Linked DNA regions of Notamacropus eugenii. The protein of the gene in region 3 purifies or fractionates together with the protein of the main gene of each other region. This does not show direct contact. Links are inferred from orthologs where the notes say so. Each region holds a gene or a part of one and is shown on either strand. Other genes may lie near its edges.

The links.
Region 1: the proteins of FGF11 (region 3) and SIRT1 purify together in Homo sapiens (affinity purification with mass spectrometry; 3 studies listed by BioGRID and IntAct, with this or other methods). This does not show direct contact. The link is inferred for Notamacropus eugenii from reciprocal best matches to the Homo sapiens genes FGF11 and SIRT1.
Region 2: the proteins of FGF11 (region 3) and AHCYL1 purify together in Homo sapiens (affinity purification with mass spectrometry; 3 studies listed by BioGRID and IntAct, with this or other methods). This does not show direct contact. The link is inferred for Notamacropus eugenii from reciprocal best matches to the Homo sapiens genes FGF11 and AHCYL1.
Region 4: the proteins of FGF11 (region 3) and UBE2O purify together in Homo sapiens (affinity purification with mass spectrometry; 3 studies listed by BioGRID and IntAct, with this or other methods). This does not show direct contact. The link is inferred for Notamacropus eugenii from reciprocal best matches to the Homo sapiens genes FGF11 and UBE2O.

The regions. Positions count from the first base shown.
Region 1 is NC_092872.1:261,064,304-261,071,627, reverse strand, and holds the start of SIRT1 (NAD-dependent protein deacetylase sirtuin-1), read left to right. Parts: upstream 1-4,144; 5' UTR 4,145-4,225; coding exon 4,226-4,592; intron 4,593-7,228; coding exon 7,229-7,324. UniProt on the Homo sapiens protein: NAD-dependent protein deacetylase that links transcriptional regulation directly to intracellular energetics and participates in the coordination of several separated cellular functions such as cell cycle, response to DNA damage, metabolism, apoptosis and autophagy.
Region 2 is NC_092873.1:288,330,816-288,338,047, reverse strand, and holds the start of AHCYL1 (S-adenosylhomocysteine hydrolase-like protein 1), read right to left. Parts: upstream 3,140-7,232; 5' UTR 2,930-3,139; coding exon 2,798-2,929; intron 2,215-2,797; exon of another isoform or gene 2,192-2,214; intron 1-2,191. UniProt on the Homo sapiens protein: Multifaceted cellular regulator which coordinates several essential cellular functions including regulation of epithelial HCO3(-) and fluid secretion, mRNA processing and DNA replication.
Region 3 is NC_092873.1:78,544,683-78,552,388, forward strand, and holds the start of FGF11 (fibroblast growth factor 11), read right to left. Parts: upstream 3,058-7,706; 5' UTR 1,454-3,057; coding exon 1,261-1,453; intron 1-1,260. Other genes in the region: TMEM102 (transmembrane protein 102), read right to left, coding at 3,817-5,126, 5,237-5,463.
Region 4 is NC_092873.1:342,947,030-342,954,341, forward strand, and holds the start of UBE2O ((E3-independent) E2 ubiquitin-conjugating enzyme), read right to left. Parts: upstream 3,187-7,312; 5' UTR 3,166-3,186; coding exon 2,830-3,165; intron 1-2,829. UniProt on the Homo sapiens protein: E2/E3 hybrid ubiquitin-protein ligase that displays both E2 and E3 ligase activities and mediates monoubiquitination of target proteins. Negatively regulates TRAF6-mediated NF-kappa-B activation independently of its E2 activity.

The DNA.
Region 1 (7,324 bases), on a different chromosome or scaffold from region 3:
TTGAAATGCTACTGAAGAGAGTGCAACTCTGACTGACTGGCCGCGTTGTTCAAACGCCAAACGTACATTTGCCTAAAAGATTGTTTTATGGAGAACTCATGCAAGGCAAGGGCTCACACGGTGGTCAGGAGAAGTGATACAAGGACACTTTCAAGGTCTCTCTGGCAAAGGATGGCCTAGAATGGCATACCTGCATCAAAGAAGGTGCTGTGCTCTATGAAGGAAAGAGAATTGCAGTAACTGAAAAGAAAAGAAAAATGAGAAGTATGAGTTTAGAGATACCTCTACTCCAAATGTTCATATGAACTCTTTGTGCCCAACCTATGGTAAAGCCTTCCTAGCTTACATCAATCTGATCAGTCACAGTCAGATATACTTAACCCCAACAAAGTGATGATATTTTGGTCATTTTTGATTAAGTTGCTTGGTTGTTGTCCTTCATTCTCAAAGAGGACCATTACAGTGTGTCTGACTGTGGCTGACGAGACAAATACAAGCTGAGAATGCTCCACTGCAGGTCAGGCACAAACAGTTCATGTGAACATTTGGGGGTGTATCCTAATTTGTATATCCTGCATTTCCTTTGAGCTGTCTCAACTGTGCTTCGCTCACAGAGCACAGCACCTTCTCTGATGTGGGCACCCCATGCTGAGCGGTTCAGTGCCAGTGTCTCCCATGTCGCATAAAGGACAACAAGCAACCAATAAAGGCTTCGTCAATATCAATACCATTGGTATTCCTCAATTCCAGGCTGCTCAGCTCCTTTTAATTCCACTGCCTAGTTAAGTACTCTGCATATAGTACCCATTTAATGTCTGTTAAATTAAGATGAATTGAAAGGAAGAAAGTATAGGACTTTATAATAGACAGAGAATGAGAAAAAGGAGAGGAAAGATTCAAAGATGATTCCAAAGTGCTGTGTTGGAGAAAATGGTAGGAGTACCAAACTAATAAAACTGGGAATGTTGGGAATGTGGCCACATTAGGAAGGACAACAATGACTCTATGGTTGGAGTTTGAAGGGACCTTGGAACCCATCTAGTCCAATCGATTCATTTTACACAGGAAGAAACTGAAGCCCAAGAAGACAAAATGACTTACCAAGGGTCCCCCAATGGTACAGCAAAGTCTAATAGTGAGTTTCAGGTGACAGCTGGAAGTGGAGGCCTAGTTTAAAGGTCCAGGTCCTTGGTCAGGGTTGGGAAGAGACATTTATGATCCATCACCATGGAAGTAGTGAAGGTGAGGTACCAAAGAATGTGATGAATAAAAGAGTGGGAGAAGGAAGCAAGTAGGTAAGAAAGGAAGAGAAAGAAAGAAGGCTTACAAGAAAGTAGGTAAGAAAGGTCAAGAATCAAATCTTGGGAGATAGCTACAATTATGGGACAGGAAGAAGGAAAGGAAAGAAGTCATCAGGCAGCAGGAGAAGAATGAAGAAACAACATTTTGCTTTAATTTATCTCTAATCCTTTAACTTTTGAGAAAACAAAATACTATCCCTCCCATTTCTGGGAGTTAAATCTTCATTGGGCGGCTTGGTGGTGCAATAGAGAGAGTGCCAGCCTGGTATTCTAGACTCCTAATTCAAATATGGCCTCAGACACTTAACAAGCTGTATTACCCTAGGCAAGTCACTTAACCTCAGATTCCTTATCTGTAAAGTGGAGAAAAGAATAGCTACCTCCCAGGGCTATTGTGAGGATCAAATAACATGAAAATTGTAAAGCATTTAGCACAGCACCTGGTGTATAATAAATGTGAGCTATTATTAGTCAGTCATATAATTCAACAATTTCATGTAAATAAGCTTTAATCCTGAGCAAGACCCATCTTTTTCCTTAGATTTAAGCAAAATTAGAAACTCTGGATTTCTACTTAAACTTGAACTGATTGAGAGTGAAGTGGCTATTGGCATGAGTTGGGAGATTGATTTGCCCAGGAACTACATCACTGTTTCTTGTTCTTACAAAAATCTCAGTATTAGAATTCAGAAACCTCCTGTAAAACTGATGGCTTGTTATTTACAATAACTGTAATTATTTTATTTTTACATAAATATTTACTTAAATATTATACATAAATATTATTTTATACATATTATATTTATATGTTACTATTATTTTAAGATGCTAGGATCATAGATTTAGGGATAATAGAAGGGACCTTTGAGGTCATTTAATACAACTACCTCATTTTGCAGAGGAGGAAACTGAGGTCCAGAGAGCTAAGATTACCTGTCCCAGGTCACAAATGTAGTAAGTGCCAGAGGCAGGATTAAAACCTAGCTCTTCTGATCCCAAATCTGGCCACTTTTCCATTGCCCCATGCTATAACCCAATTCACCTTTCTGGGTCTCTGCTTCCTCCTCTGTAAAATGAAGGGGTCCATTTAGATGAGGGGGTTCTGACCCTCTGTGTCATAGAGACAAGTTCATGGACCTCTTGAAATGGAACCATGACCCCCAGTAAAGAACTCTTCTTTTCAGGCCCTAAAATCTTCCCCATTATTTAAATCCTCTGGTTTTTTGCAAAAGTACTTTTTTTCAAGGAAATATGCTTAATCAAATATACAAAGAAACAAGGAAATCTAGGGTCACAATTGAATACAGTATTTATACCATATTGTCCTTTTTCAAATTTCAAAAATCAAGATTTCATCCACCTTGGTTTTCTCCCCACTGCCGCAGAAAGCAATGAGAAGATCCCAGATTTAGAGCTGGAAGGGATCTCAGGACTCACGTACTCCAACCTTCTCATCTGACAGAGAGTAGGGAAAGTCAAACGATCTGATGGTCATGAAAACATTCAGTGACCAGGTCCTCTGCCTCCCAATCCAAGACTCTTCATTCTCTCTCAGCACACTGAAGGAGAAGGCATTGAGTTACTAGGACCAAAAAAATCATCTCCTGGTGGTGGGCAGGCTCCTGGGGATCATCGTTTAAGCTAGGCTATTCCTCAGTGGTACTTGGGGCGCCTTGAGCTTGGCAGGACCTGTAGAACACCTGTATGTCCGCAGCCCTCACCCGAGGACAGCACTCCACACCAGGTGCCTGGACCTGCTCTTTCCAGCCTGTCTTCTGATCCGTCCTTCCCAGGACCACCACAGGTCTTTTGTACAGCAGACATACAGGGTCTCCTCCTCCTCCTCCACTCTGCCCAGCCTCCTCTCCAAAGCACCCTGCCCTCTCATTTCACCAAGGGGTCTCCTTGGCAGGACTGTCGTCCTTTCGCTGTTCCATTCTCGCCCGCTCTGCAGCGCTCAGCGCACGCAGCAACTCCTCCTGGAAGTCCTCCTCGCTTGCCCTTCTCTAATGCATAGATTGGGTGATTCCTTGGCACTCGGTAGTTGCGATTATTGGTCTTTGTATCGCGCCCTCCTCTGAGATCTGCAGCTCCCGGAAGGCCGGGGGGAGGTCTTTATCTTGGAATTGTGCGCGGCGCTTAGACTCGCGTGTCCCAGCTCCAGGAGCCCAGGAAGCCTCTTCCCCCGGGAGCGGGGCGGGGGTGCACCCCAGTCTTTGCCGCGGCAGCCCCGATCCCTGCGCACTGCGCAGCTCCGGCGCCGGCGGGCTCTGGGGCGCCTTGGGCCGGGTCCCTCTGCCTTATGGCCCGGCCCCTGGAGCAGAGCCCTTCCAGGACGGGGCAGTTCAGGGATGCGCGTAGTAGGAGCGCAGGGAGGGGGCAGAAATGACTTTTTCTTTCTTTTTCCACTTAGGGTCGGACACGTCCCTTCGGAGAAATAAGACCAAACTTGCGCGCGCGCCAGAGATGGGAGAAGGGGGTGGGGGTGGGGACCTGGGGAGGAGGAGAGCGGGGCGGACGGCGCGAGCCAGGCACACGCCGGGCGGGTCCGGACCAGCGCGCGCGCGCCCGCGGGCCGGCCCGAAGCCGGAGCCCCGCCCCGTCCGCCCCTTCTCCGCCCCCCCCCCCCCGCGCGCCCTTGCGCCGGGCCACGTGACCCATTTTGTTGTGGTCCCGGCCCGCGTGGGTGTCAGTGGTGGTCAGGCCGAGGGGGGGAGGGGCCGGGAGGGGCGGGGCGGGGCCGGGCGGCGCGGGTCACGTGACTGGGGTTTAAATCTCCCGCAGCCGGCGCGGCGGGGGCGCCAGAGCTGCTGCTGCGCGTCTGCTGAGCGGGTGGGCGGGGGCCGGCGGCGGAGCGCGGGCGGCGGAGGCGGCGCCGAGGCCAGGCCCAGGCCCAGGCCCAGGCGGGCGGGAGGCGGTTGAAGATGGCGGACGAGGCGGCGCTCGCCCTGGAGCCCGGCGCGGGCGGCGCAGGTCCCGCGGAGCCCGGCGGGGAGCCGCTCAGCAAGCGGCAGCGCAGGGACGGCCCGGGCCCGGGCCCGGGGGCGGAGCGGGCCGGCGGGGCGGGGAGCCCAGGCCTGGAGGCGGCGGCTGCCCCTTTCGGGGAGGCCGCGGCCGCCCCCGGCGGGGACAATGGACCGGGCCCTCGGGGCCTGCGGGGCCTGCCCCGGGAGCCTCCGCCACTGCCGGACGACGACGACGACGACGACGACGAGGACGACGACGAGGAGGAGGAGGAGGAAGAGGGGGGCGAGGACGAGGACGAGGCGGCGGCGGCGATTGGCTACCGAGGTGCGCAGGGTCCGGGCGGCCGCGACTGCGCACCGCCCCCCGGGGCCGCCCGAGCGGGGAGGGCCGAGGAGGCGGGGGCCGGGCTCTCACCGCCGGGCCAGGCCGGGCGGCGGGAGGCCCCAAGGTCCACCCCGGGCCCGTGACCTCGGCGTCGGGACTGGCTGGGCTCCTCCCCCTCTCCCGCGCTCAGTGCGGCGAGGTCACTCCTGGTCATCCCCCGCTGCGTTCCCCTCCCTTGGCCTCCTCTGCAGGACCTCCGGTGTTCGGGGCCCCTCCCGCCTACCCCTCTACTAACCTGATCACCTCTTGTGCAGAGGCTGGCTTTTCCGCAGCCCCGGGCTGCTTGACGAGGGGTGGGTTCGGATAGCCACCCTCCGCTCCTGCCTGTTTGTTTCTAGTCCTCGTTTTTCAGGGGCTCAAGTTTTATTACCATTATTAATATTTTGGACTCTGCATGTTCAGGAAGCCGGCGTAGCGAATTCTTGCTGTAGATGAAGGTAGACTGGTGGGCAAGGTAAATTGATGTCTCCTAGTTTGGAGGTGACCCCGGGCTCTCCACGTTGGTGCCAAGAGGATCCTAAGCGCCGGCTGGTTGTGTCAGACTGAAAAGGCTTCGTTGTCCCAGCGGACCTGCTTAGGTTGTTGGGAGAAGCCTCCCCCTGAATGGGCTGCAGAGCCATGAATATGGCCACAGCAACTCCCCTACAAAGGGGGTGGAATCCGAGGAGCGAGGGAGTACTCACACCAAGGAACAGATTCTTGAAGTTTAAGAAATATGGGCAAGATCACTGAATGCCAACTTTAACTTAACCTGAAAAACTCCTTTCCCCGCTCTAATCTTATTCTTGCATAGCATCTTCAGCTCGTTACTAGTCTAGCGTTTGGTAAACCAAAAAACACTTTAAAAAAATTTTGAGTGATCCTTATTGTTAGGTGTTCTTTTGGGGAGAGTAGAGGGAAAAGGAATAGTTTAGTTTGTGATAAGTCAATTCACATACAGCCTTTTACTTCTATTGACGTGAAGCTGTTGGCATCATTTAGCATCAGGTTGTTGGCATCAAGTCATTTGATGCTGCTGTCTTTTGAACTTTTGAAGCTGTGTGACTCTGGGCAAATTACTTAAACTGTTTGCCTCAATTTCCTCAACTGTAAAATGGGAATAATAAGTAGCACCTACCTCCCAGAGTTGTGTGGATTAAGTTAGATAATTGTAATAAAGTGCTTAGCACAGTGCTAGGTGCTTAGTGAATGCTATATAAATGTTAGCTATTATTATGAAGGCTTTCTAGATATAATATATATACATATATATACACACACACACATATATATGGAAGACTTTCCAGATGAAGGAAGCAAGTATGTGAATTAACTATTATTTGGTTTACATTTACTTGAAAGCCACTACTTGTAGTCCAAAGAACTCATGTTTGATAGGCAGTCCTGTTTTATAAATTATCAGTGTATTTTTTCCTTTTTGCACTATCTTAGATTCTGTAGTTAGATTGTTAATCTCTGGGAATCTAGAATCATTTCAATGAAAACACGGTGACACTGAATTACTTAACTAATTTAAAATATAGTAAATAATTGGTCTGAAGTCCTTTCACTATGTTTCATTGTTCTGAGGAGATGACCCTGGGTGCCCAGAGACCAGTGGAGGCCAAGCTGGGAGGGTTTGTGTGTGTGTTTGGTTTTTTTTACAGGTGAGGCACTGAACCAGTCTTGCAGCTAAGAACCAGTAAGGAGTTTAGTCCCCAGGTCATTAATGATTTTTAGCTACTAACTTAAGAAACTCTCTGTTTGTTGGAGCTACAGTCTGCCTTGGGAGAGAGTGAAAATACGTATGAGATTACTCTTTTAGAAGTCGTTTGTATTTACTTAGCTTCAAATTTTGCCCCCCTGTACCCATTAGAATGTAAGGGATTGAAGATAGGGACTGGTTTTTTGGTCTGCATGTTTCCAGTGTCTATAACAATGGCTTGCAAATAGACATTTAATAAATAATTTGAAATATTAATTGAACTAGGGAAGATGAAGGAAATAAGCATTTATATAGTGCCTATTGTATACCAAGCATTTTTTACAGTTATCATTTGATCCTCACTACAACCCTAGGAGGTAGGTGCTATTATCTTCATTTTACAGATGAGAAAACTGAGGCAAACAGGTTAAGTGCCTTGTCCAGGGTCACACAGCTTGTAATTGTCAGAGACTGGATTTGAACTCTGGTCTTTCTGACTTGAGTCCCACCACTCTAATATACTCCTCCACCAGCTGCTTCCAGTAAAAAAAATTTTGAGTTCATTTACTTTTGAATATCGTTATAATGGGTCCTTAATAAGATGTCACACTTCCTTTTTGGTCCTGTGATTTCTGGCTGCAGCCAGTTCTTATTGAGGAAACTTCCTTTGTAGATTGTTGGCTAACTTGTTCTCTTAGAGAGCTACCTTTGGCACTGAGAAGTGACCTACAGTCACAGAGCCAAATCTGTCAGACTGAACCCAAACCCAGGTCTTCTGGGCTTGGAGGCCATTTCTTTGGCCAGTATTCTATACCTTCCCTTTGGTCTGCCCCTTTTTAGAGATGTCATCTATTTCCTTTTCTAAGGCATTTTATTTCTCTCTGTTTTGCAGAAAATCTCTTCAGTGATGAAATTCTTGCCAATGGCTTTCATTCCTGTGATAGTGATGAGGATGACCGTGCGTCTCATGCAAGCTCCAGTGACTGGA
Region 2 (7,232 bases), about 210 Mb from region 3:
AGAAGAGATGACAATTAAACCCTTGTGAATTGATGAGATCATCAAGGGAGAAAGTGTAAAGTGAGAGGAGTTCCCAGGACAAAATCTTAAGGGGAGCACAAGGTAGATGATGAATCAGCAAAGATGCAGAGGAAAAAAATCAAAGGAAATGAAGATGGTGGGGAGGTTGGGCGGGGGGGGGTGGAAACCCAATGCTACATACAGACACATTTGAGAGCCTTTGCATTGAGGTTCTTAGCCATTTTGTGCCTATTTCCTCATCTGAGGTCACTAAAGTCAATGATATTATCAAAGAAGAGAATAAAAATCAGAATCAAGGGCAGACTCTTGGGAGGAACATTCACCTTGTGGGTACTGGAGTCAGGAAGAGGACAGCAACCATTGAGACAAGAAAGGTGTCAGAACCAGGAGAGCCTGGTATTTCTGAAGTCAAAGAACAAGAAAGTTACACAGTAAAAAGTTAGTAATCGGCTGTGGCAAATGCCAAAAAAAGTCAAGGACTGAAAACAGGCCATTAGATTTGGTAATTAATTTTATTATATCGCTTGTGTTATTCTAGTTTTTCCAAAGAGAAGGAAATCAAGTTATTCAAACATGGCAGGGGTACAAAAGTAACTTGGACAGAGGTTGATGTAAAACTGAGAAGCTCTTAACACCAGGGCTCTGCTGGACTTGGTATGTGACCTTGAACCAGTCCTTAACTGCTCCATTAACAAAATGAATGCTCCTGGTTATCACTAGGGGGAAGAATAATTAGTCGTCATAAAGCACTCAGTGTTAAATAGTTGCATAAAAGCTGAATAATAAAACTCAGAAAGGGCAAAGTTAATGAGAACCATAAGGACACGTTTACAAGTAAATGAAAACCCACCACATCTCTGGTAGAGATTGAGTAGCCTTTTGCTAATGAGTCTGAAATCAGGAACACTTAGCTTGGATCACTAGGTTAAGTGTATTAGCACCCAGTCCTTTCAGGCAGAGAGAATGACTCTCAGTAAATATACTAGTAAGTTACAAGTACAAGTAGCCCAGGTGAACTTTCAGGCAACTGAGATTTCCAGGGTGCCTATCAGGTTAAAGGGCAACAGCACCTAACTCTGTGACAGCTATTCAAAGGGCCTACTGGGGAAGAACAAGGTTCTAGGAAGTTGGGATACCAGGGGAGGCATTGTTGCCAGGCTGCCAGCACTGCATTGTGCTGGGATCCAGAGGGCCTGCGCTCTAGCCTCAGACCCACCATTAAGTAACTGGATGACTTTTCCCAAGTTTCCTCCTCTGCAAAGTGAGGGGGTTGAACTAGATGATCTCTAAGTTCTCTTCTGGCTTTATTATAATTCTAAGGTACCTCCACAGCTTTACCACTGACTCATCTCAATGCTTTAACTAAAAATAAATATTCTATTTGTAAAGGGACAGTCACTCCAATGAATAAAATAGAATACAAAGGGTTACAACCCCACAGAACAAGATTAGGCTTCCAGAGAGCACAAAGAACAACTCCCTCAATCCTTTTTAAAGAAAACATAGGCTTTCCTCGAGTAAGACCTTATTGGAGAACAGATATAGCACACACAATGAAGGCTTTGTGCTTCTTAATTCAGTTTCTGAATTGTAAAACAGAATTCCTCCAAAAAACAAAATGGGAAGGCTCGCTCCTTTGCACAGGATCAGGTGCAAAAGCTTCAGAGGGTACTATCTAGTCTTCCTGCAAGCCCTGCTTTGCTGAGCTTATGCAAGTACTGCAGCCCGGGGATGGTTTTAAAAACAGAGAGCCCTGAAATATTTTTGTCTTTAAAAGGGAGCTGAAAGCACTGACTTAGGTTCCATCAGCCTCAGAAAGTCACCTCTCTTCTGCGCAACTTCTTTTATTTTGAGGTCAGGGTTGAGTGGAAAGTCAAACCACAACTGGCGGCTGCGCGCCTGCATTAGCCCCCCCAAATCCTCCTAGTCAGTGAGTTAACTGGCCTAAAAACCCATTGATCTCACCCGAGGGCCAAAAAACGAGCCAAAACGCAAAAACAAACAGATCAAATAAATAAATAACTATTCAACTTGTTCGGCCTCAATAAGTGCAACAAGGAATGATCAATCCATCATTCCTTACCGCCCACCCCTGCCACAAGCTCGGTCTTGGGGAGGCACACAGTGGGTCTCTCGGACCCCCGGGTCCATGGTAGTAGTGGTTACCAACCTCTAAAGGTTAATTCACAGTCAGAGGAGCTTGCAGAACACGGTCGGGGATGGTGGCTGGTCTCTTCACCATTACCTTCGCCAGCCGGGTGCAAGCGGTCTTCACTCTGGCTCGGGGTTACTGCGAGGGGCATCCCCCAGAAGGATTCCCAGGGTGCGCCGCCCAACCCTCCCCCTCCCCCAAAGCCACCCCAAGGGGGATGCCGGCCTGAATAGGGCGGTCAGCTCTGCCGCCGCCAGGGCCGGGGTGGACACGGTGAAGGGGGAGGCTGTCCAGGGGCCGGACCCTCTCCCCTCCCCGCCCAGCCCAGCCCGCCCCCCATCCCGGGTCCGGGAGCCCCCGGGCCAGGGAGCAGCGGAAAGTCAGGTACGACTGTGGAACCCGACTCGGAGGCCTCGGAGCTGATCGCCGCGGGCCAGGGCAGGGAAGGGACAAAGCCCGCGAAGCGACAAAGGGCAGCCAGCGAGCGCGGCCCGGGCCGGCCGAGCGGCGGGCGGCCCGCACACGTCAGCGCCGGGGGCCCTGGCTGCGTCACCCCGAGCTCCCCCGGCTCCGGGCCCGGCCCACCCGCGGCGCGCTCCCCTCCGGGCCCGCCCGCCCCCGCACCTTCTTGGGCGCCTTGGTGACGGTGGCCATGAACGAGTACTTCTCGGCGTCCTCCTTCTCCTTGGCCTGCTTCAGCTCCTCGCCGACCCCGACCCCGGCCACGGGCAGCGGCATCGCATCCGGCACCGACATGCCGCCCGCCGGCCCGCGATCCCCCCTCACAGCTCACACCGCCCCCGGCCCTCGGGCCTGCCCGCACGCCGGGCCGCCCAAAGCGGCCGCCCCCGCGGGACTAGGCGGACACCGGAGCCCTGGGCTCGGCGAAGCGGACGCTGAGGTGGCGGAGCCGGCACCCAGTTCGCTCCGCGGCGCCTGGCCAGCCACAGAAGCGGCGCGCTACTCTCGGCCCGCGCCGCCTCCGCCGCACGCTCGCGCGCCGCACGCAACTACGCACGGTCAGGGCAGAGGCCGCCGGGGGGCGCGTCAAGGACTGGCAGCCCTGGGGAGCCGGCGCCGAAGGGAAGGGCGGGGAAAGCCTCCGGGCAGCGAGTGACGACAACACGCACGCGCCCGACGCTAGAAACCGCTCCCCGGCTCCTCCTCCTCCTCCCCTCCCCCAGGCGGCAGTTGGGGCACTCAAAGGGGAAGAGTGAACCGATCCTGGAGAGGCACCAGGTGGCGCGCTGAGCCCTCGCAGAAGCACCTCGCCCCCGGGGCGGGGGGAGGGGGGGGCGGAGTTACAGCGCACGTGTCTGAAAGTCCTGCCGGCAGAGGAGCGCTAAGCGTGGTGTGGGGAGCCGGGGATTGCTCTCCGTGCTAGGGAACCCAACCAGTCTCAGAAAGTCAGTCAACCAACCCGCATTTACAGGTCGTCCACTGTGTGCTAGACGCCATGAAAAGACAAAACAGCCCTGCCCTCAAGGGGCTTCCAGGCTTTGAAGGAGCCAGCGCTTTAGCATCTAATTATATAAAATGTATCAAGTATAGAAGTAAAAATGCAAGGTCCCAGAGGGGAAGAGGAGGCACGGGGAGCTGGAGAAAGATCCTGCTTTCGGCCCCCTCCGCTTTAGAGAGCTCAGACCAAGGGGTCGCTGCTTCGGCCCCAGCCGGTGGCCCTCTGTCTCATGGGCAGTGCCTGCCTCTCCCCATTTCTTAGCCGTATTTCTCCACGGTCCTCCCGCCCATGCCTGTTGACAACTGGAGGCTGAGCTGACTTTTTCTGCAGCCCACTGGGAAAGGGTCTGAAGGACCAGGAAGGGTGGGGAGTGGAGGAGAAAGTCACCGCCTTGGATGAGCCTTGGACTGGGTGCCCCACCCTAGCACGAGGCACGGTCAGCCTCCTCCGGTCTGGTCCCGTCTGCTCTGTGGGCGCAGAGTGCACTCATACGGTGCCTGGTGAAGTCATCCACAAATAACTTACAGGGGACCCGAAGGACCTGGGTCCTAAGACCTAGAGAAGCTCCAGCATCACTTCTGCTCTTCTGAATCCTACCTGTCCAATGGGAGAGAAAGAACACATCTGCCTAAATACCCAGGGACCGCTGCCCTGGATAAGGAGATCATAGTGTGTGCTCTACTTGACTTAACTGGATGGTGAAGGTTTCTATTTGGGTGGGAAGTTGTACCCATAAGAACCAGCCATTATATTCTCTAACTTTCTAACCTCAAGACTTCTTTACACTGTCAAAAATTAGCCCAAAGAGCTTTTATATGGGTTGTAGCTATCAATATTTATTGTGTTAGAAATGAAAATATTTAATTAAAAAAGAAGAGCTTTATATGGGTTATATTGATTGATATTTACTGCGTTCAAAATTAAAACATTCTAGTGTTCTTATGAAACTAATTTGGACCTCAAAGACCCACTGAGTCTCAGGGACCCCTCTGCTATCCCCAGGCCATACTTTGAGAATAGCTGGTTTAAAGTAACTTGAGAGTAGTTGGGGTTAAATGAGTTTCTTCATATAAGGTGATTGAAAAGAGAGATGGCTATGAGGGTAAGGGAACCTAGGTTCAAATCTCTTCTCTGCTGTGTATCAGCATGCAGAGTCAGTGTGGCTTAGTAGGTAGAAAACAGGCTTCAGAGTCTGGAAACCCTGAGTTCAAGTTCTACCTTTGTCACATTCTGGGTGTAAGACTTTGGGCAAATCATTTAACCTTTCAATGTTCAAAGCAACTTTCAAAAACTGTAAGTTTCAGGTGCCAGTCTACATTGATAAAAGATCAAGGACACGTTAAAAAAGGATTAAATCACTTAATCTCCTTGGCCGCAGATTCCTCATGTATAAAATGAGGGGTTGACTAAGGTCTTTCTGTATCTATGATACAATTTTATATGCTTAAATTATACCCTGAGACCAACTCCCATAACTCTCAGCCACAGAGGGTAGTTGACTATAATCCCCCTCAAAGTTCTAAGGATAACTATAAGAAGTTGAGTTTCTAGCACTAGACTGTTAACTATGAGCCCCTACCAGTGTGGTTTCTGTTGGTAATTAGCCAGTATCCTCAATTAACTTTTTAGAAAAGGTATTTACTTATATGACATTGTAAGAACAGTTGGTACTAAAATCCCTCTAAAATGGGGTGAGGGTGAGAGTGGGACATTCTATCACTTTGTAAGCACAAGGTCTCTTGGGCAGAATAGATTCCAACTCAGAGAGCAAGTGAGACATATGCATAGGAAATACATATAGTGAAAAAATACCGCATAACTCTTGGCCACTGGAAATTCTTTCTTTCTATTGTGTAGTACTCATGCAATTCGCTGCAGGGAATGGCATCGGTAATGGACAAATCTTATCTGCTGGGCTAACTCCTCAAAGAGAGAAAGGCATTGCTGTTAGGTTGAGTCAGTCTGTTCTTAGGCCATTCCTCTGCTGGGTCAGGTCACTTTTCAATTGCTGCCTACAGTCTCTCCCCAGATTCTGTTTAGATGCTGGGAAACAAGAAAATACCAGCTGTTACCCTAAGACCTCTCCAGATTGTAGAAAGTTTACAAAATTACTAAGTATGTCCATCTCAAGGTTGCTGCTTGATTATTTCCCAACTCTTATGGCTCTAGTGGACACAGCTGCTGACTATGGCCACTGGTAAGAGCTTGTGATAGAAGTTCAGGATTACTCGACCTTGGGTGAAAGGGAAAAACACTTGCCCCAAAATGATTCTCTTTCAGAAACTTGGATGAAGTTCCTTTGCTCATAAATGGGCCTGCTATTGGAATTGTTGATTCCAAATTGTCTTGAAGTCTTATACGTAGGCCCAGAGGTGTGTCCAATATTTTGGACAATCAAAAGGTATTTCCCATCTTTATCTAATATCAAAGCAAATCATTTTCCTTCTGTTAAATCAATTAAAGACTTGTTCACATCTGGTATATACTTTTGATTGATTGAATCAATGAGTTACTCTGGCCTTTTTGGGGTTACATTAGTTGGGGTTAGACATACTTACAATTACATGATTATCATGTGACTCTTTTACTCAAAAATTGTCAGTGATATGTATTACCTATATAATAAATCATTTATCTTGGCATTCAAGGTTTTACATATTCTGATTCAAACTTCCTTTTTCCAACCTTTTTTCCATACTAATTACCTTCACATATACATTCTAGCCAAACTGAACTATCCTCTGTTTGGTCTTACTTCCCAAGTCTTTGCTTAATATGCCCACATTATTCTCCATCTGTAGAATCAACCTCCTCCTTCCTCCCTCCTCCCACCAACTTTTTAATTAGGAGACTCAGGTTATCATGTGGGCTTGGATACTTGCCAGTTGAGTTACCCTGGGTGAATCACTTCATCTCCATGAGTGCTTGTTTCCTCCTTTATTAACACAGAATGCTGTTTGAATCTTAAAGTGCTATATAAATTTGAGTTATTATTATTATCTCTGTCTATTAAAGTTTCTCCCATCCTTCCAGCCTTAACTCATCCAGGATGCCTTATTTACTGCCACACTTAGATGAAAGTAGTATCTCCTTCCTCAGATTTCCTATGGTACTTTCTTTGAATAACTTTACACTTGTAACCCATGGACCAGTATCTCTAACTCTGAGCTTACAGAGAGTAGGCTCAACCTTGGGAGCTACTCTACCAAAGCATGAAGTGGGAAGAATGCTGGATTTATAGTCAGAGGTACTGGTCAAATCTTGACTTGACCAATTTCTTACCTGTATGACTTTAGGCAAGTTCTTTAACCTCTCTTGGGCCTTACTTTCCTCAACTTTACAATGAAGAAGTGGGACAACTTGTGGTGAAAGCATATAGCCTGGAGTCAGGAAGACCTGAGTTCAAATCCAGTCTCAGACACTTACTAGACATCTGTGAACTAAATGGACAAGTCACTTAACCTCTGTTTGCCTCAGTTTTTCCAAATGTAAAATGGGGATAATAATAGTAGCTACCCAGAAGGGTTGTTATGAGGATCGAGTGAGGTAAAACTTGTATAGCACTTAGTGTATTGCCTATATAAATGTTAGCTATTCTTA
Region 3 (7,706 bases):
AAAGGGACATTTCCAAAGGGTGGGCTCTGGACTGTACCACAGAAAAAGGCAGAGGGGGTGAGGAGAGGAATCGTTCAATGAGAACTTGGGGTGGGGGATTATTGAGACTCTCACTTCCAAATCAATTTGGAAAAAGTGGGGAAAGGAGGACAGGGACAGTGCCCCTTTTTGAAACATGAAGGTCTCTTTGTCACCCCTTTCTCTCACCCAAAGGGAATTTAGTGTAGTACCCCCTGCCCTTCTGCGGGTGGTACAGTCCCAGTCAGTCTTTCCCGTCCCCGTCCCCCTACTTCCCCCCCACCCCCCCTCCGCCTCCTTATTCCCCTAGTCCCCCAGAATCTGTTCTCAACGCCTGGGTTCCTGTGGGAAGGGGCAGCCAGTCCAGCGGGTGCCAGGGCTTTGTGTTCTTAGAGGAAGTAGAACTTGGGGGTGTGAAAAGAATTGGGGAGGAAATCCAGAGGACATTCCTTGTTCCATCCCCTGGGTGCGAAGGAGGGGAAAGAGGGAGGACACAGTAGAGTTCTGGGATCGGGCAGGGAGAGCAGAGTGGGGTGCGGGGGAGGAAGCAGGGAGGTAGGGGTGGGGGAGGGGCTGATCTGCAAGGACACCCTAGGGAGAGTTAGGAAGGTTGTCTCAGAGCCAGGTGAGGTTAAACGAGAAAGACCCAAGCTCGCGTGTGGGGAACAGAAGAGCAGAAGAATGGGGATGGGGTGACCAGCTAAACTGAGGGGAAAGAGAAAAGGGCGTCGCAGAATAGAAGAAACTAGGTTGTGTGACCCAGGCGTTCCGAGTCCTCGGTTAGTCTCAGTTCGGGGCTTGAAGCAAATCAGCAGAAGGACAGGAAGAAACGCACGTAGTCTGGCACTGCCGGGAGGGGGTGGGTAGGGAAACAGGATGCTTGGGTTCCTGAGAGGGGCGGGGGTTAGTTAAGCTCTGTTAAAACCCCTCACATTTTCCCTAGCTTTAGAAGAGAAGGAGGCTCAGGGTTATGCGGGAAGAGAAAGGAAACTGGGGAGCAGCAGAAGGGGAGAGTATCTGAACTTCTAGCCTCCCCATTGCCCAACTCTCATTAAGGAGTTTTCTTCTATTTTATCCAACCCTCAACTCAGCCCTCTAAAGTATTTTCTCTCTGGCCCTCTTCGTCCCGCTACTCTCCTTGGGGACCCGGGTATTCGGTTTTCCATCCCTGAGATTTCTCCTTTAGTTTAGCTCCCACCTCAACCTACTCAGAAACCCCAAACCCCAACTGTTATCACTCACCCGGGGCCCTGTCCGGCCGCGCCCGTCGCCCCCCACACAGACGGACCTTGGAGAGCAGAATCAGTATCTGCTTCTGACACAAGGACTTAGTACCCCTCGGGCACACTCGCCGTTGGGCTGACACCGGTCGGCTTGTCCCAGGGTCTCGTACCTCTCTCTTCTGCCTGATCAGGCTGCTGGCCAGCGCCGCCATCTCCAACCACCTTCCCTCCCTTTAGGGGACAGTCCAATCTTCCTACGATGTCCCTTAACTCCGCCACTCTCACAATGGAGGTATACAACTCAAATTGTATGGAGGCACCCCAATAGAACACAATCCTCAATCTCAATCTGGCTCCCAGAATGCCCCCCCAACAGAAAAACTCCAAACTGGCAGTTCAAGGATGAAAGCTAAAACCTTTCCTTTCTCCGGGAAGGCACTCTCCAATCCCTTCTCTTGGTACCCCCAAGTTTATTCTCTCTGCGTTCCTGGATTCTTTGCTGTTAAGTAGTACCTCAAAGAGCCCTCCCCCCAAGTACTTCAAAAGGGTCCCTTCAACTGCCCTCTCCCCCTGTGACCCCTAAACTTAATGGGAATCCTTGAACTCTTACTTGGTTCAAGCTTTGTGAATCCCCAGCTCTTGTCTTCAATTCTCTGGGTTCCCCTTCCTCTCAGCCCCAAATTTTCTCTCCTTTCCTTCACTGTCCTGGCCCTAAATCGATGTAACACCGAGGATCCCGTTTTTCTGCACCTCTCCATATAATCCCCGATGACCAGACTTTGTAGACCTTAACTCACTATGAAAGATGACAGAAATGAATCTCACAACTCCTCCCTGTCAGCTCAAGAAATCTAGAAGGGGTGAGAAGGAAACAGGGCTACAACATCTCCAAATCACCCATCGCAGCAACACTTGGTGCAGCAGCTGTGAGGAAGTTAAAGATAATTGGGGTCTTCTTTGCCACCCTTTAGTCCCCAGACTAGAATATATCTACCTCTTCCCATCACTCTCAAAACCTATAGCCCAGAACTTCTCGGAGGTTCCATTTGCTAGGGTCCTGAGTTTCTTTCCAAATCAACCATAAACTTGGCTTATGCCTCCCCCTTTCAGCAAGTCAACACTCTCTACCTTCTTAAATCACTAGAGGCCCTAGTTTCTGGTGACCAGGTATCCTCTAAACTTATCCTTACCTCTACTTCCCTGGCTCTTCCAAATATGCCCTTCCAGCTCCAGCAACTTGGGGGTTATCAAGGTGCAGTGGGAACAGAAGGTCCCTTCTTACATCCTGTCACCCCAAAATAGTGATTCTTTAACTTCACTCTGGATATCCCACAAAATGTTATTGGGGAGTCAGTCTTGATGCAGTCTTCCAGCTATTTGACCTCCAGCTAGCTACTCCAAAGTGTTGCACCCCACTTTCTTCCTGGGACTCCCCAAATTAACCTACCTCCTGTACTTCCCCCCAGGCAATTCTGTGCTCCCCAGGGTCCCCACCCACGTTCCTAAGCGATTGTTTGCACCCCACTTTCTTTCCTGAGACCCCCCAAACCTGTCCTGTTGATCCTGCTGCCGGCAGTGATGGATGGCTCAGGCTCTCATATTCTCCTCCCTCACTGTCCCCCTGTTAGCAGAGGGTTCCCCGCACGGTCCACCTCGATGCTGTCTATCCCTCCCCCCCCAGGGAAATAGGGGTGGGTTCACAGGGCGTCCCCAGTCCCCCGATGGCGGCGTTCCAGGCCTCAGTAGCAGGACTGACTGGAAAGCAAGCCCAGGCAGCAGAAGCAGTAACGGCAGCCGTAGCAGCAGCCGCAAACTCGCGTCCTGCTCCCCCACCTCAGCCCAAGAACCCTGTCCGAGGGCGGGGCAGGGGGCGGAGACAGCATCAAAAAGAGGACGGTGGAAAGGGACTCCTGGATCTGTTAGAGGACCTGGAAATGGAAGTGGCTAGGGATGTTGGGAACGAACAAACAAGCTGGTTGTGGGAGGCGAGCCATGACTCCCAGAAGGGGGAAGGAGGTGCAGAGCTTGAGTCTGGGGGAAAAACGTCTGGAAAATGCATGAGAAAAAGAGGACTGAATAGAGTAGCTTTTGGGGGGGGATGTCAGAAATGGGGAGGGGATCCACTACCAAAAAGTGGTAACTGTTTTCTCTAATATTTCCAATCTGACCAAATTGGCCAGGCCCCATTTTATCATCCTATCATGCTATGTCAGCATCTCCCCTTCACCTTTCCACTCGGCTCCCACCTAGGGTCATACATAAGAGAAATTTCAAAAGGGGTCGCGAGAGGGCAAAAATAGGCTAGGAAGGGATGAGGGGGTCAGGGTTCTTGATGGGAGATGCGTTCATTTTGGGCCAAGGGTGGCAGTGCTGAGCACAGGCTTAAGGTTTTTTTCAGGGTCAAGACCGAGACAGGCAGCAGCCACAGAAAGTTCGAGGGCTAGGTCTCCCAGAAAGAGTTATGTCACTGATTGGGAGAGACGGGCATGAAGGAGGTTGGAAAAAAAAAATTCTTGTCTCCATCCAGCTGTAAATATTTTAATGCCCCCCGCCCACCCATCGAGCTGTAAATATTTTAATGACCCCCGCCCACCACCCCGCCCCCTTTCCGCGCCTTCTTGGCCTCCTCCACGGCAGTTCGCAGAGCCCCTACAGGGTCCCCCCGGAGTCGGGCCAGAGACCCGGCCAGCTCCGTGGCCCCCTCCCCGGCCACCAGCTCCCGCCCTTCCAGGAAGTAGTCAGGCAGTGCCCCAGCCTCGAGCCCGCGGCTTAACTCGTCCAGCAGCCCGAGGCAACAAGCCCCGGCGTTCTCGGGTCGCCCCAAATACAGGGCCGGGAGTCGCTCGCAGGCCCAGTAGAGCAGGGTTCGCAGGAGGTAGGGAGCGGCGCAGCCGGCCCCGGCCACCAGGGGGCGTAGCACAGCCTGGGCGGCGGCGTGTGCCTGAAGCAGAGGTTGGGGGATGCGGGCCTTGAGAGCCAGCTCCTGGCGGGCAAAGCAAATCCGCCAGCAGAGCCCATCCTCCTTTTTGGCTCTGTAGCCCGGCACGAGGTAGCAGGCGGTAGGCCCAGCGGCCACGGGACCCATCCAGGCGTGGGTCCGGGTTCTATCGGGCCAGCCGGCCACGGAGACCCCTGGCACCAAGTCAAAGAGCAAGACCCGGGGGGGAGGGCCCGGGGTGCACAGAAGAATGGTAGTGACTCCGGCGTGGCGGGCGGCATGGATCAGGCGCACCGCACCGGGGTCCGGGGTCAAGGAGACAGATACAGCAGCTAGCGAGGAATAAAACCAGGCAGCCACTTGGGTGGGGCACAAAGAGGGCCAGTTTTCCTGAGGGCCCCGCCCCTCAGGCTCCGGGACTGGCTGTCCGGGGAGTTGCTCTGTGACGTCACTGTGCGGTTCCTTCAATAAGCCGAGCTCTCCCGAATCCCTCAAGTCGCCGCGCTCCTCTTCCGTAGGCTGTGGCGACTTGGGGTCGGCGTCTTCTAGCACCCGCGCGGACGCCGCCGCAGTCTCGGGCCCGGTGACGTCACACGGAGGCTTCTCCAATGGGCACGCCTCTTTTACCGCCCGCTTCCCCTCCAGCCCGGCCGGGGCGGAGGGCCCTAGGCAGTCGCACCAAGCCTCCAGGGCCGAGGCCCCGCCCACTCGCGCTGGGAGGCGGAGCCATACGTTGCCAGATTCCAGCTCGAGGTCAGGCCTTACCCCGTCGCAGTCCAGCCGGAGCAAGGGCACCAGGAGCGTGAAGCCGGCGTCGTAGTGGGGCCCCCTGACGTAGGGGCCCAGGGGTCCAGGCCCCAGATCGAGAGAGCCCTCGCGGACTCCACCGCGGAGGAGCAGGAGCTCTGTTTGCTCAGGAAGCCGGGGGTCCCGTCGGTGGATGAGACCTGAGGATAAGGGGAGGGGGTCAGTCGAGGGGCTCTCTACGGGGCAGGCCTGAGAACTCGAGCGGGGGCGCTGGAGAAAGGACAGGAGGGACCACAGGTGACACACTTACTGAGCAGAGAGAAGACAAAGTCCTTAGCCCGGAGGAGATCTTTCCCGGGCTTCGGCCCCCCGTGCCAGCTCTCCTGAACCCCGAGCTCTTGGATCAGTTGAGTCAGCTCCTGCAGCTGCGCTCCGGAGCAGAAGTCAAGGTCCGTGAGGGGACGGGCAGGGGCTGGGGGTGGCGGACCCCACCAGGGGGTGCCCCCCCAGACTGCGGAAGCCATATGGGGACTGAAGCTAAGGACGCGGCGGGGAGAAAGGGAAAATGGGGCTCAAGTCATTCTGGTAACTCGGGCCGAGTCCACACACTCCTTCTTTCCTCTGCACCTCAACCTACCTTGTGTTCTAGAGGCGCCTACGCCCTGGGAGGCTACGGAGTTCTTGTTCATTTAAGTGGAAAATGCACAAATATTCTCCGGTGTCCACCCCTGCCCTCCAGGTGTGTCCCCAGACTACCCCCTCCCCCAACATGCGAACTCCCTAGTCTTCTAAGTACCAGTTAGACCTGACAGGTGCTTTAAAAAAAAAAGCTGTCTCCTCCCACCCCCACCCCAAGTTCAGCCCCGGACTCTGCAGTCTAGTCTCATCCCTAGTTCTGAGTGCCAGAAGCCCCAAGAGTTCCCTTCCCTTACCTGTAATTTGGGGGTGGGGTCGGGGGATGATGGCCAAGGACCTCAGGCGACCGCAGGGAGTGAAAAGAAAACGGGAGAAAGCTTCGGAGAAAATCCTACGGGTAACTTCCTTCTCTCCACCAGGACCCGCCCCTTTTACCTGAGGCTACACCCCTCTCTGCCCAGGCTCTAACTGGCAAAGTTCTGGCCCCACCCCATGCCTTGGTTCCTTTTCCCTAGCTCCAGGTTTCAGAGACGTTTCTGAATTGTCCTGGGAGCTGAGCCCTCTCTCACCGTCCCTCCCTCCCATTCTCTCAGCTCTTTCCAGTAAATATAGTGTTCAGAATTCACTTGGGAGGGAGGCAAGGGGTGCATGCTAGAAAATATAGTTATTTTCCGTGTCCCCAAGCCGTGTCTGGGAGTGGTCTTTCCAAGCCAACTGGTCCTCTGCTGCGCTCTACTGTCTAGTCAGGGTATGGGTGGAGCGTCCTAGACAGATAAACTGAATTTTATAGCAGCCGTCAAGTCCAACTCTAACCTCACTGTACAACTACTAGACAAGTGGTAATCTTAAAGATTATGCTTATGAAGAAGTAGTCCAAATAGTCCAGTTCCCTTTTAGACAGCTCGAATTCATGGGGCGGGGCAGTTCGGTGGCGCCCCGAGTCAGGGAGATTGCAGTTCAAATCCAGCCACAGACACGTGTGATGGTGGGCAAAGTCACTGAGCCCTGTTTGCTTCGGCTTCCTCATCTGTAAAAATGAGCTGGAGAAATGGCAAACCACTCCAGTATCTCTGCTAAAAAGGGGTCACAAGGAGTCTGAAATGACTTAACACAACGTGTTTTTGACATCAAGTCTAACTTTCAAACTTCCATCTATGATCTTGATTCTGCCTTTCAGGGCCGAACAAAAAAGTGTCATCTGCTTTTGACATGATAACCTTCAAATACTTGGAGACAGTCATCAAGTCCTTGCTAAGTTAAAACATCCACAGTTCCTCATGATCAGCTAATCAAGAGCTCCAAGTATATCCTTCACCATCTTGCTTGACCTCCTCTGGACCATTATGATAATAATAAACTTATTATAATAATATAATCTATATAGTGCTTTTAGGTTCACAAAGTACTTTATTTACGCTTTTACATTTTATCCTCACCACAACCCTGGGAGGTAGGTTATTTTTACAATTTGGGAGGTAGCTATTTGTAACCTCATTTTGCAGGTGAGAAAACTGAGGGAGACAGAGGTTAAGTGATTTGGCCTGGGTCACACAGCTAATAAGCGTTTGCAGCTGTATTTCAAATCATGCTTGTCTTGACTACAATTCTTGTGCTCTGTGCCACCTCTAATTGCCTGTAATTCCCTGTAGCTCATCAATGTCCTTCTTAAACTGGAGCAAACAGAACTGAACACAATAGGCCATTTGTGTGCCTGACCAAGACAGAATACAGAGGGACTAGCCTTCCTTTATTCCTGGAAGCTATGTTTTAATGAATCCCAAGATCACAGGATTTTGGGGGGCTAGTTTATCAATCCACTTACAATCCACAAGAGTCCCCACACCCTACAATGAGGGATCTTACAGTCCACTAAATCTCATATCCACCAAATTTTTCCTGACAAACTGCTTGTATTATGAAGTTGGTTGATTGAATTCAAATGTAAGACTTTATATTTATCACTATATTAAACTGAACCCAAGGCTCAAGTCTATCAAGAGCCTTTTCTATCATTTAGTATGTAATACTCTTAGATCTGTATCATCTACAAACTTGGTAAGCATGCCATCTATCAAAGGAACTGATAAAAATGTAAAACAGAACATGACCAAGCATGGTTCCCTGGGGTATTCCACTGGAGACTT
Region 4 (7,312 bases), about 260 Mb from region 3:
ACCAAACATTAAGCCCGATTATTTTAAAAGGAGCCACTGATACTATTCATGATTTAGTAGCCATTTTAAATTCCTCTGATCTCTACATTCCCACTCCCCTTACAGTTGTGCTATATATAATAATAATAAAAAAACAACTGGAAAAAACCCAAATGCACAATGGGGTTGGGAAATGGGTAAGCAAACTGCGGTGCATTAATGCAAAGGGCCATTACGTTGCCAGAAAAAAAAAATGGCAAATGTAAGAATTATGAGTAAATATAAAAAAGATCAATATGAAGAAATATACAGAAAAAACACATTACTTGAAATATTGCATATATACTACTTATATCTGCATAAAACATATTTGGTACAATCATGAAGATCAGAATAGACAGAAATACAAATATTTATTCAGTATGTAATATATGCCAGGCACAAGTAACAAAGAATTTTTAGTTGCTGTTTGGATATATTTATTTTTAATAAGTTAAAGTTGATTAAATATAAAAATTAATCTTTAATGGGCCCCCTGTTTGTCATGTTCAAAAATCTAAAATTCATCAAAACTATTTCCATGAGTCCATCATGCTACAATTCACAACATTCTAAGCATTCTTTTGATATGCCTTGATTGGAAGGATAGGAACACAAAAACGAGAATATGATAGCAAATTAAAAAAGCGCTGTTTTAACACGGTTAATCAGTTAGCCTAACCACATTTTAACTAATTCAGAATTATATTCAGAATTTGTCCATGCAGGAACCATATGGTAATTTTTTTATGATGACTTCAAAACTAGTAGATAATTCAAAGTATAAGTCACTGGACTGGAGTGGAGGGAAACAGAAAAGGCAGATAAAACCAAAATTGTAAACAAAGGTAACTCCTGAAGCCAAGACAGAAACAACTTTTAAACATGGCAATAGCCAGGAACTGAAAAGGCCAAGGAGAGAGTTTGAGCCTGGAAATCAGGAACTAGCTCCTCTATTGTCTCAAGATTAAGAAGCCTAGCTGCAAGGAGTCAAAATTTAAGTTATAACATACAAAAAGGGAAGGTAGGGGAAAAAAATACATTTTTCAAAAGCCCATAAAAAGGCACCAGAATCCCCACGCACTTGAGACATATGCAATGAACAATAAACATCCACTTCCTGAGGACATAAATAATAACGATGAGTGCTTATTAACATAACATCCTACTGCAAAAAGCAGCATTTTCCAACCAAATTATCAAATGAATTTTAAGAATGAAACTGCTACTACTCAAGTTTCATTTGGGGGTGGTGGGGAATAGAGAGAGGTTAAATGTGTATGTGAGCATTTATGTAGAAGACCCAGCTGGAATCTGCAATCACTTCTGCCACTAGAAAATGGATTACAGTCTCTTCCTGTGATGGGGCCTCTCTCCCTGAGTGACATCTTCATCCAAAGACCCCCCCTTCATAATGAGCCAAGACGTTCCATTTCTCAGTCTCCTTTGTCTCCCCATGTGAGGCATCCAATCTAGCAAAGGACTAACTTCTCATGTGCCCACTCCCTAAAAACCAGATCTTCCAATAGCAATGACCCAGATGGCTGAAACATTTCAGGCCTTATCCAAGCAAAGAAAATCGTGGGGGTGTGGGGGGAGGGAAAGAGGCAGGGAAGGGTAGAGGACACAGACGGTAAACAAGGGTGTGCTTGTGTGTCACCGATATCAATCCACGTTTTGGGAAACAGCCACAAACTAACAAAATATGTTTGGTCCTAGTTTACAGGCTGCCAAACCCTTTGTTTCCAAAGCATTTATCAATCCATTTCCCCCAGCTCCAATGCAGACAGCCATATGGAAGAGTGATGTTCCGTTACAACCTGGGAGCAAGAAAATCCCTTTAAGTCCCACTCCAAATTAGTGGATTTGCAGCAGTCAGTAGGTTGGTTCCTAAAGCGTTTTTTCCAAGAAGTCCAAATATGCTTAAGATTGACTTTTTTGAGTAATCACTTATTTTCACCGCCTATCTGAACATGCACAAGCAACTTTTCCCCCCTAGATAGCTCCCATTTCAGCCTTTTCAAAGGCACTTCCAAATGCTGAAATGTCATCATTCCCTCAGTTCCTATAAAGAGCACCACCACCCCCTCTTCGGCTCTCAACGTTTCTCCCCCAAGCCTTGGTTATCATGAATACTGTACTACACATACCATTACTCAGGACTGCAAAGCATCTGACTTGCCTTCACAAAGTTCCCCATTAGCAACTATGTAAAGGTACTCGGGATAAAATAAGAGCAAAGCAAATTCCTTCGCAATAAAGAAAAATACACACATATTTCACATATAATATACGTATTTTCCCCACGGAACTTCCCAGCCAAGCCTCCCTGACGCCTACACTGACAAGGCAGGGCCTCTCCTTTCTGGATGGCTTCTGGGCCGCGCACAATGCAGCCCGTGTCGCTCCCCGGGGGGTCGGCGTTCAGCACTCCGGGAACAGGCTCCATGTCTCCCTCCACCCCCGCCCCTAGCTTGCAAAGTGCCGACGGGCGCCTCAGTCCCTGGGCCCGAGCAGGCGCGAGGAGGCCCGGAGAACCACCTCCCAGAGAGTCCGGGAGTCCGAGGGCCCTGCCCCGCGCTCCGCACCCGGGGCTCGCCCTCAGCCCTGCTGCAATGACTTAGCACCGGGTCGAGCCGCGGGGCCCAGTGCACCTGCCCCGGCCGGTCCCCACCCTGGGGCCCCCTTCCCGCCTCCGCCCCCGGGCTCCCTCGCAGGCTCGGCCACCACGCGGGCCCCGGGGCCCCGGCTCCCCGCTACCTCCGTCCTCCCGCCCTCTCCCCCCGCCGCCCGCTGGGGGCCCTCACTCACCTTGGTCTCCTTCACGTGCTGCTTGACGCCCTCCGGGTACCACTGGACGCGCACGTAGCCGCGGCGCAGGGGGCTGGCGCGGCTCTCCTCGTTGCCCGGGCCGCCGGACTCGGAGCCCCCGGAGCTGCCGCGGCCCTCCTCGCCCTCCGAGTCCGAGTCCTCGCCGTGGATGAGGCGCACCAGCCCGAAGCGCACCGAGCCGCGGTAACGGCCCGACACCAGGTCGTGAGAGAAGAGAAGGCGCTGCGAGCCGGCGGCCACCGGCCCGGGGCCGCACACCGGCGGCCCACCCGCCGGGGCCGGAGCGACGGGCGCGGGGGCTGCGGGATCCGCCATGACTGCTCAGCAAGAGTCTCAGGCGGCGCAGGCAGCCCGGACTAAGGGAAACTGGGGGGGAGGGGGTGCGGAGCAGGGGGGGGAGTACCGCGGGGGAGGGGGCGGAGCTAGAGGGCGGGAGTAAGGCTACGGGGCGGGGCTGAGGCGTGATGACGTAAGACGCGCCGCCCGCCGTTGTCAGGGAACGGAGGATGCGGTTGCTAGGAGCCGAGGCCGGCTCTCGCTAGGGGTAGCCGAGAGGATGGACGCGGAAGAAGGGAAAGAATCCACGAGGGAAGAGGCGGGGCTCAGACTCGGGAAAGGAAGAAATGGACTTGGGGGCCGGATAGAAGAAGGGGTGGGGCAAAGGTGAGGTCCGGAAGGAGAGCAGGTGTTCCCGAGAGCGCAGTTTACGTGGGCGAGGCGCTTGGCGAACCTTTGTGCGCTCTGGGAATGCCCGCGGTCTTACTGGTGTGCTGGTGGGAGTCGGGAAGGTCCCAGTACGGAGCCGGCCTCAGGTGCTGCCCGCCTGGGTGGGCCTGGGACAGGTCGGGTAACCGCCTCGGCCTCAGCCTGCTCATGTGTAACATGGGAGTGACTGTCCCAGCGCTTACCTGGCGGGGCTTGTTGTGAGGTTCAAATGAGGAGGTATATATGTGTGTGTATGTATGTGTGTATGTGTGTATATGTATGTGTGTGTATATATGTGTGTATGTGTGTATATATGTGTGTGTATGTATGTGTGTATGTATATGTGTGTATATATGTGTGTATGTATATGTGTATATATGTGTGTATATATGTGTGTATGTATATGTGTGTATATATGTGTATGTGTGTATGTATATGTGTGTATATGTGTGTATGTGTATGTGTGTATGTATATGTGTGTATATATGTGTGTATATATGTGTATGTGTGTATGTATATGTGTGTATATATGTGTGTATGTATATGTGTGTATATATGTGTGTATGTGTGTATGTATATGTGTGTATATATGTGTGTATATATGTGTATGTATGTGTGTGTATGTATATGTGTGTATATATGTGTGTATGTATATGTGTGTATATATGTGTGTATGTGTGTATGTATATGTGTGTATATGTGTGTATGTGTGTATGTATATGTGTGTATATATGTGTGTATGTGTGTATATGTATGTGTGTATGTGTATGTGTGTATGTATATGTGTGTATATATGTGTATGTGTGCATGTATATGTGTGCATGTATATGTGTGCATGTATATGTGTGCGTGTATGTGTGTGTGTGTATGTGTGTATGTGTGTATATGTATGTGTGTATGTATATGTGTGTATATGTATGTATGTATGTATATGTGTGTATATGTATATGTGTGTGTGTATATATGTGTGTGTGTGTATATGTGTATATGTGTGTATGTATATATGTGTCTCTGTGTGTATATATGTGTGTGTGTATATGTATGCATGTAGGTATGTATATATGTATCATATATATTTACAAATCCTAAAGTGCTATAAATTGCTATCTATTACTATTATTATTAAAGTTTTGGAGTTGGAGTCAAGAAGACCTAGTATAAATCCAGCTAGCTGGGTAACCTTGGGGCAAGTCTCTTAACCTCTCTCCACCTCAGTTTCCTCATATGTAAAAACAGGAGTAATGACATTCACAGGATTTGTTTTGAGGTTCAAATAGAGTCAAAAAAAGCACTTAGTTCACACAGTTTGTGATGAGGTTCAAATCTCAGATGAGGGGTGTGTATGTATGTATTAGCAAATCCAAATGTAGCATAGAATTGCTAGCTGTTATTATTAGAGTGCTGGACATGGAGTCTAGAACCCCTGAATTTAAATTACTACCTCAGATACTAACCATGTGACCATAAGGCAAATCCTTTCATTTCTCTCAGCTTCCATTTCCTCGTCTGTAAAATGAGAACAGGAATAGCACAGGGTTTGTTGTGAGAATCAAATGAGATAATGTATGTAATCGTTATTGTTCAGTCGTGTCCAACTCTATGTGACCCCATGGATCGCACTCCAGGGCCTTCTAAACTCTGCTGTCTTCCAAAGTCTATCTTAGCTCATGTTCATTACTTCCATGACACTGTCCATCTATGTTATCCTCTGCCATTCCCTTCTCCTTTTGCCTTCATTCTCTCCTGACATCAGGGTCTTTTCCAAAAAGTCCGGTCTTCACGTTATATGATCAAAGTATTTAAGCTTCATCTTCAGTATTTGTCCTTCCATTGAGTACTCTGAATTAATTTCTTTAAGTATTGGCTAATTTGATCTCTTTGTTGTCCAAGAGACTCTCAGAAGCCTTCTCTAGCACCATAATTTGAAAGCATTGATTTTTCGGTGCTCAGCTTTTCTTACAGTCCAACTCTCAGAGCCACACATTACTACTGGAAAAATCCTAGCTTTGACTATACAACGCTTTGCAAACCTTAAAGCACTATAGAAATGGTAACTATTATTATTATAAAATCATAAACTTAGAGCTAGAAGGGATCTTAGAGTAGAATCAGTCATTTAATCAACAAACATTTATTAAGTGCTTACTGTGTGCCAGACACTTAGCTAGGTATTGTGGGTAGAAAGATAAAATTGAAACATTCCCTGCTTTGAAGAAACATATTCTAAAGAGGAAATTAACATATACACATATGTCAGATAAACAACCTGCCAAAACAGGCAGAGACTAATTTTAAGGCAACATGTAAACCAATAATAAAAATAATAACCAAAATATACTGCTTTAAGGTTTGCAATGCACTTTATATATAATCTCATTTGATCTTCATAATCCTGTGTAGTAGGTGCTATTATTACCCCACCTGTCCAACTAAGACCCCAAGCATAGGTAATAGTGAAGATTAAAGATGAATCATATCTTAATGATGACTAATCATTTTGCCAAGTATACACAAGTGTACCCAACCAGGAACCAGAAAGTATTCACAGATGCTAAGCCATTGAAGGTAGGAGCAATGTTTTTACCATTGTATCTCCAGTGATTAGTAAGTATGGTACCTGGTATGTAGTAAGCACTTAATAAATGTTTGTTGACTGACTGATGCGATTTTCTGCCAGGATCCATTATGACCAAAACAAGCTTTCAAGGAAATGTAGCATTGTCAAATATCAGGAAGTCTAGAGCTATATATCACAATCCACAAGGAGACCCGTGGCCTCAACCCTACCACTTTGTGCTTTTTAACATATTAAAAACTTTTAAGACTAAAACAAGAAATTTCAGTGATGGTAGCATGTGACATTTCTAGTGCAGATATAACTACCTTAGGAGTGATGTCCCAGGTTTTATCCTGTATTGCTTATGTGTGGTCAAGAGCTGTGCTAATCTATTGACTTGTCCTTTAGGTTTTCTGAGGATAGAGATAATGCAAATACATCTCTTAGCTAAAAAAAGGAGCTGAAATAAGTCTACCAATTAGCCATGACTTCACTTCAGAAGAGCTGACCAAAATGATGCATAAATTTTCAAGTCCTCAAACTAGGAGGCAAAATTCTTTTATAAAATTTGAAATGTTTGCTTCCTACTTTTTTTTTTTTTGCAATGGAGATCATAGTTGTGGGATACTGCATACACTTGTTTGATGTGTTGTTTAGTTTTGCTGAACCTTTTTCTTAGTTACAGGGGATGGTCCTTTTAGAGGGAATGGGGAGGGAATACAGTGGGAAATATGGGTGATGTAAAAACAAAAGGTGTCAATTTTACTTTAAACTTTTAAAAAATATATTTTTAAAAGTAAACTTTGGTGGATAAGAGGCACACAAGTTACCAGACTGATGGAAAGCTAACCCATATAAAGTTATTGAGAAACTGGGCAACTTGCCTATTTTACAGAAAAGCCCCAGGGAGTAGGGAGAGCCTCATAAAGACAATCCACCACCAACATTTTTTTACCATAAAAAAGTTAGTGAGATTTTCTGATAAGCAGGTGGAGAGAATTGATGGACCTCAGCTGACTTTGCAAAAGAGACTGCCTACCAATTATGTAAAGACTAATCTGAACCATTTACCAGCTCTGAAAGTGGAATTTCTAGTAAAGGTGGCATACTGTACTATTTCCCAAAAATCTTGTCTTGAACTGAGAGGAACCCCAGTTCAGACAGTGGCAGTTCATTTTTTGCCTAGTATTTCAATCATAG